Linked DNA regions of Xenopus tropicalis. Each later gene encodes a partner of the first gene's protein in a complex. Links are inferred from orthologs where the notes say so. Each region holds a gene or a part of one and is shown in the gene's direction. Other genes may lie near its edges.

The links.
Region 2: e2f1 (region 1) and tfdp2 share a complex: the UniProt entries of both Homo sapiens proteins name them as parts of the DRTF1/E2F transcription factor complex. The link is inferred for Xenopus tropicalis from reciprocal best matches to the Homo sapiens genes E2F1 and TFDP2.
Region 3: the proteins of e2f1 (region 1) and ccnf are in contact, whole or in part, in a cryo-EM structure (PDB 9CB3), measured with the Homo sapiens proteins. The link is inferred for Xenopus tropicalis from reciprocal best matches to the Homo sapiens genes E2F1 and CCNF. Residues at the interface, in NP_005216.1 of Homo sapiens: Gly84, Arg85, Pro87, Val88, Lys89, Arg90, Arg91, Leu92, Asp93, Leu94, Glu95, Thr96; in NP_001752.2 of Homo sapiens: Met309, Ile312, Leu313, Asp315, Trp316, Glu319, Val320, Met323, Arg349, Leu352, Gln353, Trp379, Leu380, Thr381, Asp382, Thr384, Asp504, Tyr505, Val508, Leu510, Thr511.

Annotation. Positions count from the first base shown.
Region 1 is NC_030686.2:41,701,403-41,705,155, forward strand, and holds the end of e2f1 (transcription factor E2F1), read left to right. Parts: intron 1-1,653; coding exon 1,654-1,898; 3' UTR 1,899-3,371; downstream 3,372-3,753. UniProt on the Homo sapiens protein: Transcription activator that binds DNA cooperatively with DP proteins through the E2 recognition site, 5'-TTTC[CG]CGC-3' found in the promoter region of a number of genes whose products are involved in cell cycle regulation or in DNA replication.
Region 2 is NC_030681.2:129,561,410-129,565,162, reverse strand, and holds the start of tfdp2 (transcription factor Dp-2), read left to right. Parts: upstream 1-1,054; 5' UTR 1,055-1,263; intron 1,264-3,753. UniProt on the Homo sapiens protein: Can stimulate E2F-dependent transcription.
Region 3 is NC_030685.2:22,529,261-22,533,013, forward strand, and holds the start of ccnf (cyclin-F), read left to right. Parts: upstream 1-1,115; 5' UTR 1,116-1,176; coding exon 1,177-1,189; intron 1,190-3,366; coding exon 3,367-3,521; intron 3,522-3,753. UniProt on the Homo sapiens protein: Substrate recognition component of a SCF (SKP1-CUL1-F-box protein) E3 ubiquitin-protein ligase complex which mediates the ubiquitination and subsequent proteasomal degradation of target proteins.

The DNA of each region.
Region 1 (3,753 bases):
TGTGTGAGTAGCTAATGTGTCAATACTAGCACACTGTTTACTGCTTTAGAAAACACAAAGCAAAGTCTCCAAACAAACTTGGTCTAAGTAATCTGTTAAAGGAACAGTAACACCAAAAAATGAAAGAGCTTTAAAGTAATAAAAATATAATGCACTGTTGCCCTGCACTGGTAAAACTGGTGTGTTTGCTACAGTAACACTACTATAATTTATATAATAAGCTGCTGTGTAGCCACGGGGGCAGCCGTTCAAGCTTGGAAAAAGGAGAAAAGGCACAGGTTACATAGCAGATAACAGATAAGTTCTGTAGAATACAATAGTGTTTTATCTGTTATCTGCTATGTGCCTGTGCCTTTTCTCCTTTGAATGGCTGCCTCCATGGCTACATAGCAGCTTATTTATATAAATTATAGTAGACTTTCTGAAGTAAACACACAACTTTTACCAGTGCAGGGCAGCAGCACATTATATTTTAGTTTTATACACTTTCATTTTTTGGTGTTACTATTCCTTTAATCCGATCTAACTGCTTCAGATTGCATGGAAATCTGCTGCTGTAGAGTCAGGCTGCTAAACGAGAAGCAAACCTACCATTTAGCAAGGGCTATACTAATCAGTCTCGGCTAATGAGGTCAAATTCTGGTGGCACTACAAAGTAAGGCCAGAGCTTGCAAATTTAAGGTGCAATGTTTGGTTGACAAAAACAGCAGATCTAAAAAGCATTGCTGTGGAACTGGGGATTTAATAAATCATGTGCTGGAAAGTGGCAGTTTTTTTTTTTCATTTATAGGCTTCAAAGCTTTATTGAATGGCTAGCATTACATAGAAGTATCTTGTCTGTTGTTTGGCACATAGTAGACCAACATCCATGTTGATTACTTACACCTTACTTGACTTGCTGCTACAAATTCCAGCCTACTTTAACATCACGGTATCAAGTGCATTTGGAGCTGTAGTTTAATAATATCATGGTTATATTGTAATCCATCAATGAGAATCCTACCTGCTCATGTTCTTTGTTCCTGCAACTCGAGGTGGAGACTTTGTCACAGAACATCTCAGCAGCAATAATATACAATAATACTGATGACCTCTATTGTTTATTACACTCACACTCTCTCTATAGGTGGCCATACACAGGCTGATTCTAGTTGCCAATATCGGTCCCTTAGACCGATTCGGCAGCTTATTGGCCCGTGTAGGGGCACTAACGACAGGCCTACCCGACCAACATCTGGCCTGGAATCGGGCAGGTTAAAAAATTTAGTCGGATCGGTCCTATTACCATCGTTCTAATTCGTTCGTTCAATCGGCCAAACAACTGGATTTGCTTGATATCGCCCACCTGTTGGTGGGGGATATCGGGAGGAGATCCGCTCACTTGGCGACTTCGCCAAGTAAGCGGATCTTAACGTCTATGGCCACCTTTACTCTCACTGCCGGTCAGTTCCTAAGCTCAGGAAGGGTTTAGCCCCCCACCCAAAGCTATTTGAAGCTTCTCCAGTTTTCCCTCAGTTGCGGTAAAAAATTTCCTTTCTGACACCAAGATGACAATTGGACCAGTTCCTGGATCAACTTGTTGTAAGAGCTATTATCAATAACCCTGTATTTTCTCACTCCACTAATATAACCTACTTGTCATGTTTTTTGTAGAGCCGTTCCTGCCACCAGAGAATGAAATACCTCTTGATTCTACCTTGAATTGTCTCCCACTTTCTCCCTCTAACCTCCTCCTGGACTACCGGGATGCTATGCCGGACTTTCTCCCCAATGACTTCATCAGCCTGTCTCCTGCTTCATCACAGGAGTACAGCTTTGGATTGCAAACCTGCGAGGGTGCTGCAGAACTTTTCAACTTCGACTGTGACTTTAGTGGCCTCACAGCTCTGGATTTGTAAAATAGTGCCTGAATAGGATATTTTTTTTTTTTGTCTAGCACAGAACCTATTACCAATAATCATTCATTGCTGCTCCAGTTCCTAATTGTCTTATAAGGCTATATATTCCTATGGTCCACATTCCTTTTGGAGGTTCATGTTTGTAATGCAAGAAAATCGATTTTGGAGATGTTAATTTGTATTACTAATCAAGCGCCAAAATAAATGTGTGTGTGAGTAATAAATATATATATATATAGTGTAGGTTGTCAGCGCTCAGGTTTTAAGTAATAAAGCAAAAAAGGCAACAAATTGAAAAATCAAGCAGTGAGGTTTATTTCAGTCCTATACAGGGACATTCGTCAGGGATCGAAAGTCCCTGTATAGGACTGAAACATCGGAACAAATAAACCTCACTGCTTGATTTTTCTATTTGTTGCCTTTTTTGCTTTATTACTTAAAACCTATGAGTGCTGACAACCTACACTATATAACCTACACTATATTTGATTCCTCGCTCTGGCACCTAGGTATCGCATTCTTATGGTGTGCTTCCTTTTCCATATATATATATATATATATATATATATATATATATATATATATATATATATATATATATACGCACACACACCTCTCTCCCTACTGCAGAAGATTAAACAAGAAACGAGAGGTTATAGTCTGGTCTTAGCACTTATATTTACCCATATGTGTGTGTGTATGGGGGAAATGATGCATTTTTAAAATGTTTTTCAGAGGGGTTAAGGGCTTGGTGTGGGTGGTGGAGAAAAGTGAGGCTTTAATAATGAACCTTCAAGCAGATGAACTGGTTGCTGATGGCCTAACCACTTCAGTATGTTAGTACGTAAGAGCTCTCAGCACAGACAGTCTTCGTGTCATTCTTTCTCTGAATGAAGAGCTTTGGGCCGCCCCTATTTCTTTTCCCCGCTCTTGGCATTTCCTGTGCATCCTTATAGAGGAAGTAGTATGCATTGTGACACATTTTGTTTTAATTTATTAAATCCCAGCAGCATTGTTGTCCCTTCCTTTAACCTTACGAACACCCCGTGCAAACAGCTTGCTGCCGGTGTTCTATAGTGTTGTGGTTTTATATAATATATAATTTGTTCCCTATGCTGTTTATTATGTTGATCACTTAAGTTACAGATTTTGTATATAAAAATGCACCAGGCTGAAGCTTTTGATTTGGAGTGTACAGCTAAAAAGGTTTAAAGAGTTGGGGGGGATTATTCTGTAAGTTGGTTGTTTGCGTATATTTTTACTTAAAAACTGCCCTTAAAAGTTGTATTTATAAGCGAGTTTATGTAGTAAAGTAAAAGTTAACTTTTTTTTTTTTTCTTCATTTTGTTCCCTTAATTGAGGGCTGTTCTGAATTGAAGAGCAGACGGGATCAGTGTGTTTGATTGAGCTAGCTTAATTTATCAATAAATCTATTTTCATTGCCAATAAAAAAAAACAACTTTTCAGCAAAAAGCGGTTTACAGCAAATCATCTTAAGTTCACATCCTTAATTGTTTTTGTTTCACAGCATTTTTTAATTATTACATTTTATTTAGAAAAGGAAAACAGTGCGAAACACAGAAAAAACAAGATGACGTGACGCCAAGCTATTGACAACCCCCCTCTCACTTGATGCATCTGGTTACATTGTCCCCGACCCCATGTTCTTTTTACCAGAATTATTCCATTGGTGATGTTCATGTGCCCCCAAAATCTTCCAGAATTTCTGTAAAATCTAAATGATATGTATAATCATCGGTGTACTATTAGAAGGCAGGGCCCAATGCAGATACATTTTCCAGGCCCTGGCATTATGGGTGAGGGAGTGGGGGGTTTGGTGGAGGGCAAAAGTGGC
Region 2 (3,753 bases), on another chromosome or scaffold:
GTAGAAGAGGCAAGGTGTCCACTCAAGCCTGATAAAATTTGCACAAGGCAGACTGGTCCCATAGAGAAACATTGAAATAAACCATGGCAATATCCTCTGCCTCAGGCATGACAAGAGAATGTTAATCTGCTCATTGACACTCTTAATCTTTTATAGGTCATGTAGAGCTAATCCCCACCTGAAAGGCACAACCCTGAATCACCCCTTGGGGTTTTAAGCAATTCTGAAAAAAACGTTGGTGAAAAATACATTTCAAGACTATTACATTACATCTGTCATGAACTGAAGGCAAAGTAACCAATTATATACATGTTACTTTATGCACATTATTTTGTGTACCCTTAGTTATTCAGCAACAGGTGGGTAGGTTGATAGGCCAGCAGTTCATTTGTACATAGGCCTACCATAGTTGATCTGCCTCTATCAAGGCCCAAGCATTACCCTTTTGGATATTTAATGGTCTCCCTCCATTCTTTACATTCTAGTAGGTGATTTCACACAAAGCATAGAGATTTTTGGGGCAATCAAAGCACCATTTAGGTGTCTGCGGTCCAATGAGTCACATATGATCTTACTGTGTGATCTTCTGTCCTTAGTATGGTGTGTGTCTGTTCAAAATCAATAAACATGGTGCTTCCAATAAGCAAGGAAGTAATGATCTGCCCATACATAAAGCTATATGGCCATACAGTGCTGCTTATTAATGAAACAGAAAGTCATCTTTATTTTTCCTTCTAAAGTTTGCTTCTGAAATTATCTGAAATAAGCCAGCATCCCTCCTTGCCCAGTACATTGCCTGGATAATCACAATCATTAATGCTCAATTTATCCCACTAGGACAGCAGAAAACCCAGAGATTTATTTTCCTCCTGCTGAAAGGCACAGCCTATCAAATCACACTAACCGTAAACATTGTCTATCAGCCTCGCCAGTTTCCCTAAACTACAATTCCCAGCATGCCGGGGTAACCTTCTAAAGATTGTGGCTAATAAACTGCGCCGGGACTTCTGCCGTTTAAAAGTCCATGACGTAAGTGAAGCAGCCGATGCCTGAGAATTCCTAGCAACCTTCAGCCTGCCCAGGAGATAACATGCCAATTGTTTTGATTGTGCCTGGCTAGGTCTGATCGCGGATGTGCGCGGTGGATGCGCTCGACGCTCGGTTGCTCATGCCTGCCTCATTTTCAAGTTTTCAGGCAATGGTAACAAAGAGTGGCTCTAGTAGTGAGCTGGGAATAGTGAGCCAGTCGTGTCCTGTGTTGAGGTAGGTCCCTTGCATAAGGGTCACCCCTTCTATCCTCCCACTTACCTGATCCCCCCTAAGACTGGGATATATGCTGATCCCCAGGCTCTCATGGTCCCACACAATGCACTAATTTCCTGCAGCATGCTCTGCCTGGGGGGGAGGGTAGTCCCTGCTGACTTATTGGATAATATTCCTCATATTTACTTGCTTTTGCACTCTGATTTCTGGGCTTGTACTCAGGACTGCTTGGAGCTGTGGGGAGATGTAGCAGGATGACAGATTTTCATATACACCATTGTTTTAACTCTTACAACTAAGTAACCCTTCCAAGTGCATCAGGCTATATTGTATTTATATATGAATTATACCTATATATATATATGTGTGTGTTTGCCATGCTTAGTCACTGTTTGATTCCATGGTGGGTTTAGCAATAATAGAAATATTAAAAAATAACTTGCTCCTATTTATATGTACAATATATGCCCCACTTGAAGTTCCTATGCATAGACACTGAGCACAATGTTTGGGGGAAAATCCTTGAATTTTGTGCTGCTGCAAGTTATTGTAGTTATACAGTGCAGGTATATGCAATATGGGGCCCACCAGCTGTTGGGGAAACTAAAGCCCCTGCATTCCATGGAAGTCAGAGGATATTAGGGGATGCAGGGTTTTGTAGTCACACATCAGCATATTGGGAATTTCTGATCAATGGAGCATGCAACAATTTTCATGGGTAATCTTTGCTTTTCTGATGGAGTTTGTTATTGTGATGGGCCTGTGGTTAGAATGCTGAGTTCTGATTATTAGTGCGTAGTAGTGTATATAGTGTGTAGTAGTGCACATGTGCAGTTGGAGTGAACAAGTGGAGCCTTGTGTCTGTTCTGGAAACTCAAGCATCCCTGCTCTCTTGCTAATTGTACTTTCCTGTGCAGCAGGATAAGGGTGGGTGTGAGTGAGGGAGAATGTGCACTGCTGTTCTCTGGGACCTTTAATGCACAATGTATACAAACAGAAGGGGATTCTGGTTATTTTTTAGCTTTTTAAGGAACCTTGATTTATCATAGTCCTCCATTTTGTGTCACACCATTTTGGTGTGAAACTTTTACCATGGTCAGAGAAGCCATTTAGTTTTAACTGGTAGTAAAAGTGTGTGTGTGTGTGTGTGTGTGGGGGGGGGGGGGGGGGGGGGGGGGGGTTAGGGCTCCCATTTGTTCTATAGAGCCAGCTTCCTGGGTCAGACAGCCTCCTGGGGCCACATGCTGCTCAGTGGGACAGTCACTATGAAAAGCCCTAAGTGTCAGCTGTATGCTAATGAAGGCGAGAGCATTGTCTGCTGCTGCTGCTGCTGCTGCAGGGAGGAGACATTCCTCTGGGCTGCCTGATCAGTCCCACTCATATCAGTGACACATGCTGGCTGCTCCCAGTGCTGATTGGGTAAGGCCTGGCCTACATGTGCAGCCTGGGAGAGGAAAGTGCAGCACAGAGTACAATGCTGCAGTAGGAAGTTTGGTTATGGTAGTAACAATTAAGGCTAAGCACAGGACTGATTGGGCTGCATGACCCACGTGGGAAATGGATGATGCACAGTATTGTGTAGGGGTCACTGTAGAAAGATGCATATGGCACAAATGTACATTAGGCATATCTAAGCTGTGGCCCTCCTATTGTTGCACTAAAACCCCCACAACACCAGCTACATTGGTAGGATGCCAGGAATTGCTGTTAATAACAGCTAGAAGGCTGCAGATTGGAAATGCTTTTGCTTTAGGTTTGTTCCACAATATATTATGTTGGGAAGGGGGCAGAGTGAAAGGTCCCTCAAGCCTTACCTTTAAAGGTCGTACTGAGTCACATTTAGGATATTTCCTATTTCGGAGTCAGTATCCTTTATACTTGAAGTGTTCATTGTATTTTGGAAATACTGGCAATCTTGACTTTATATTTCAGCTTGTCCTATGTTTGTTTGATGGCTTGTGGCGTGAGAACATTTCTAGAGTTGCTCCTACATTATTGGCTCCAAGCATTTCCTAATTCCCTGTATTATTTACACCAATTAGGAGGCCCTTATTGAATCAGATTTGGTTTATTTATACACGAGTTGGAAGTAAGGATGTCTAATACGCTATGGGAATCTTAATATTTTGTACTCTTTGGCAGTATTTAAGAATGTTTATGCTTTGTTAGGCCCCAAGCAATGCTGATAATATATTGCATGGTGAAAGGGGGCAACGTTTCTGTCTTGGCCCCTTTCTTTGCTTTCTGTTCTTTTTTTCATATCTGTTCTGTACAGCAGTATCCCTTGGCTTTGCATGTGGGATTGTGTGTAATTCTTTGTGGTAGGGGGATTCTGGCAGTTCAGCCCCAGCTAAATGTCTGAGTTTTGGTGGGCCAGGGGCCAATCTGTCCACAAAGTTACCCTTTAAAACGTACACTCTTTTAGTTAGAACTAGGAGCTAGTTCTTTGCTTACCTGCCAGATCTACCAGTGTAGATACTCCAGTACTAT
Region 3 (3,753 bases), on another chromosome or scaffold:
ACTGCTTTCAGCTAACCTATTGTTTCTCCTACTCCCATGTAACTGGAGGAGTCCCAAGCTGGACTTGGATTTCTTACTATTGAGTGCTATTCTGGGAGCTGCTATCTTGCTCCCTTCCCATTGTTCTGCTGATCGGCTGCTGGGAGGGGGGGGATATCATTCCAACTTGCAGCTCAGCAGTAAAGTGAGACTGAAGTTTATCAGAGCACAGATCACATGGCTGTGGCACCCTGGGAAATGAATAATATGGCTAGCCCCATGTCAAATTTAAAAATTAAATATAAAAAAATTCTGTTTGAGTTTTTCAAAAGCAGATTACAATGCAGATTCTGCCGGAGAAGCTCCATTAACTGATGTGTTTAAAAATACACGTCCCCCATTACAGGGTTCCTTAAAGTTATAAACTCACATTTTTCTAATTTTGCCCCTCAGTGTTCATTCAGGGGACACAGCCATATTGCTGAGGAATTGCCCTACTCCCGCGTATTGCCGCCCTTACCTGCGGCCAAACCCTCTACCACTGAGTTTCACCTTCCCGCCTATACAATATCTGCTTTACATTAGCGCAAACTTCCATGCCCCAAAAGCCTCAGATGAACCTGCACCCCGCCTCCCTGCACCCCGCCTACTACTGCCCTGGGTTTAAATGGCCCCGCCCCCTTCGCCAGAGCCAATCCGCGTCATGAGCGCCGTTCAAAAAAATACACGCTGCCTCGCTGAACACTGGGAGAAAGGGGCGTGGCTTTGTATATTCTTTTCACGGACAATGAAAGCCGTGATTAATGCGGGCAGCTTAAAAACGGGTCTTTGCAAAAACTAATAACATTATAGATTTATACTTAAACAAACAGGTACTTCGATCTCGGTTTTATTAGCGCCTCTACGAGTTCTTCCGGGAACTCAGTGACGTCAGTATGTGGGCGTGTTAATATCTGTGGGAACCGTTTAGCAAATGCCATTGGCTGGTTTCGCAAGAGCATCTAGCGTTTGATTGGCTTGAGGGCGTGGCTATTGTTCATTCTTCGCTTCGGATTGGTTTGCCCTCTCTGTGGGCGTAGCCCTGGCCTGAGTTGGGATATGCAGGCCGGGCACCTAATGAAATCGAAATTTGCGCTCTGAGCCAGGCGGTAGCACCGATTCCCACTGCTCATCTACCTCACCAGCTAATTGCTCGGCATGAAGGGAGGAGGTAAGTGTCTGACAGGCGTAGATCTGATATAACTGATATTTATGTTGCGATCACCAGTTCATACATTCCTCTAGTTTGCGCCTGCTGCGCAAATTGATGGGATATGTAGTTCAGCAACAGGTTTGCCTGCCTATAATGTATGGTAGAGACCCTATAAACCCTAGCGCTCCCCCGATCGCCTTCCCTGCTAGGGGTTCCACTTATGTGATTGTGCTATTCATGTTATATAGGAATATATATATATATAACGCTGTGCATTCCTGCAGGGAGCGTGTTCATCTCATTCCCCCCTGAGAAGTCACTTCCTGCTCTCAGCAGTTTTAAATCTCCCTCCAAACTCTGCCGAAAGTGGGAGGATGGGCGGCCGGGGGGGGGGGGGGGGGGGGGGGGGGGGGGGGTTGTGACCTTTAAATGTAACTTGTTTATAATGAATGTATGGCTTTATATATAATATTATACTCCTAGAAGTATAGATTTATAATAGCCAGATCTCTTGGCACTGTAGCTGCTGTAGAATGAATGAAATACTAGTTATCTTTTTCTTTAAATCCCCCTTAATGGCTAATTAACTACCTGAGATAATAATTAAGGTTGATCTGTAGTTTTATTCAGCTCAGTGTCCCCCATGTCCCTGTGTGTGTGTATTGCTCCCCATGTGGATTGTGGCTTTTATTTCTGTGCTGCCTGTGCTCTCACCAGGTTTCCCTAATGTACATTCATGGGGTACTTTAGTGGGAGCAGGGGGGCATTTTAGTTGATTAGTGTGTTTATTGGGTGTTAAGAGGTGGGCGGGTTTGGTTTGAAAATAAACTTGCCAGCCAGTAACTGGTTGTGGGTGGGAGGGGACACTTTCCTCATGATCCATCGGGGCTTATTTCCCAATAGAGGGGCTGCTGCCAATATTGTATGTATGTATAACTTTATTTATAAAGCGCCACAAGGGTACGCAGCGCTGTACAATCTTACAGAATACAAAATTACACACAGGGAGGACGAGTGATATAATAAATAAATAAATATATATATAAGTGCCATGTGGTATGAGACACAGTAGGAAGGAGGTCCCTGCCCCGTAGAGCTTACAATCTAATTGTAGGGTCATTTTCACAGTTTTCATCTCTTTTATATGAAGATCTATTTTTTAAAGTGATATTAAGTCTCATGTATTTTAATCAGGGGGTTTAAAATTGAGTTTCCCCTGTTGAATTACTGATGTATTTGATAGTCCTGTTTAGTTACTTTTACAAGTTAATTCAAATCTATGTATATCTATAATATCTAATGTTCTATGCACATTCTACAGTTGCCCCCACCAAGGCAGCTTTGTATGCTTGGAGATTTAAAAGATGCATTTTTGGTAAATGTGATAGATTGGTGCCAGTACAACTTAGCATGGAAAATAAAAGTGTGTATTTGCTTTTCAGATCATTTATATTCTGTACTGGAATTGTAATGATCACATTGGGGTTGAGATCTAGTAGCTGATAAGGGAAAGATTATATTTGAGGGGAGAGATAAATCAGCTTGTAATGATGCCCAGCAGCCACTAGGGGCTCAACTGAGCAGAATTCTTAAGCAACTCCCATCATGCATCCGTGAGGGATTTAAATTTCTGTCAGAGCATTCACAGACTGAGCTGCATGTTGTACATTTCTTTTGTGCCTGTTTATAATTTATATCAAATCAGACTTGTCCCATGGTATATTAATGCTAAATATTATTCTGGGAGCCAGGCTGTGTATCTTTCCTCAATGTTTGCTGTGAGTTTCATTTGTTTGTTTCTCATTAAGAGCACACAGAAACCATGGGTTTATTGAGCCCTATACCATTAATGTAGAACTATTGGTGGCCCTCCAGGTTGCAGCAAGGCTGTATTTAGCTTTCTCCAGGCACATTGTGTTATATAGAGTTTATAGAATCGGACAATTGTATATGGTGCATTTTAATTGTATGGTGGAAAAGTCTAAGGTTGCTACAAATGGAAGAGACTGCCACTGCTGCAATTGTCTGCCCTGAGTAGTAATGAGACCTGGGTTTCTTTAGGTAGCTGCTGCTGGCATGTAGTGTAAACCAGCCCTGAGTGTTTCTTTCTGAAAACTTAGTTCACACCTTTAGGGCATTGGTAGAACGGGTGGCTCCTCAGGATCTGCAGTCTGATCCGTTGTTTTCCCTTCCAGCCTTGCACTGCCGCTGCTCCAAATGCTTTGCTGCTCCTCCGAAGCGGCGAGTAAAGAGGCGACCCCGCGTGCTGACCTTGCTCAGTCTGCCGGAAGATGTTCTTCTCTATGTGCTGGAATGCCTGCCTGCTGTGGACATCCTATCCATGCGAGAGGTAAGATCTGCGGGGAGGGAATGAGCCCCTCATTTGGTTCATGTGCAAAATGTGTGTGTTCCTTTTTGGATGGTCAGTAACTACAGTATAAATTTCTGACCAAATTGTACATAACTGGTGTCCTTTCTTACAATGTAGCAGGGGGGCCCAAAGCAGTCTGGATTGTGGGGGCTGTCTGAAGGCTAATCAGATTAAATCAGAACCATGTTTCTATCCCTGACAAGATTATAAT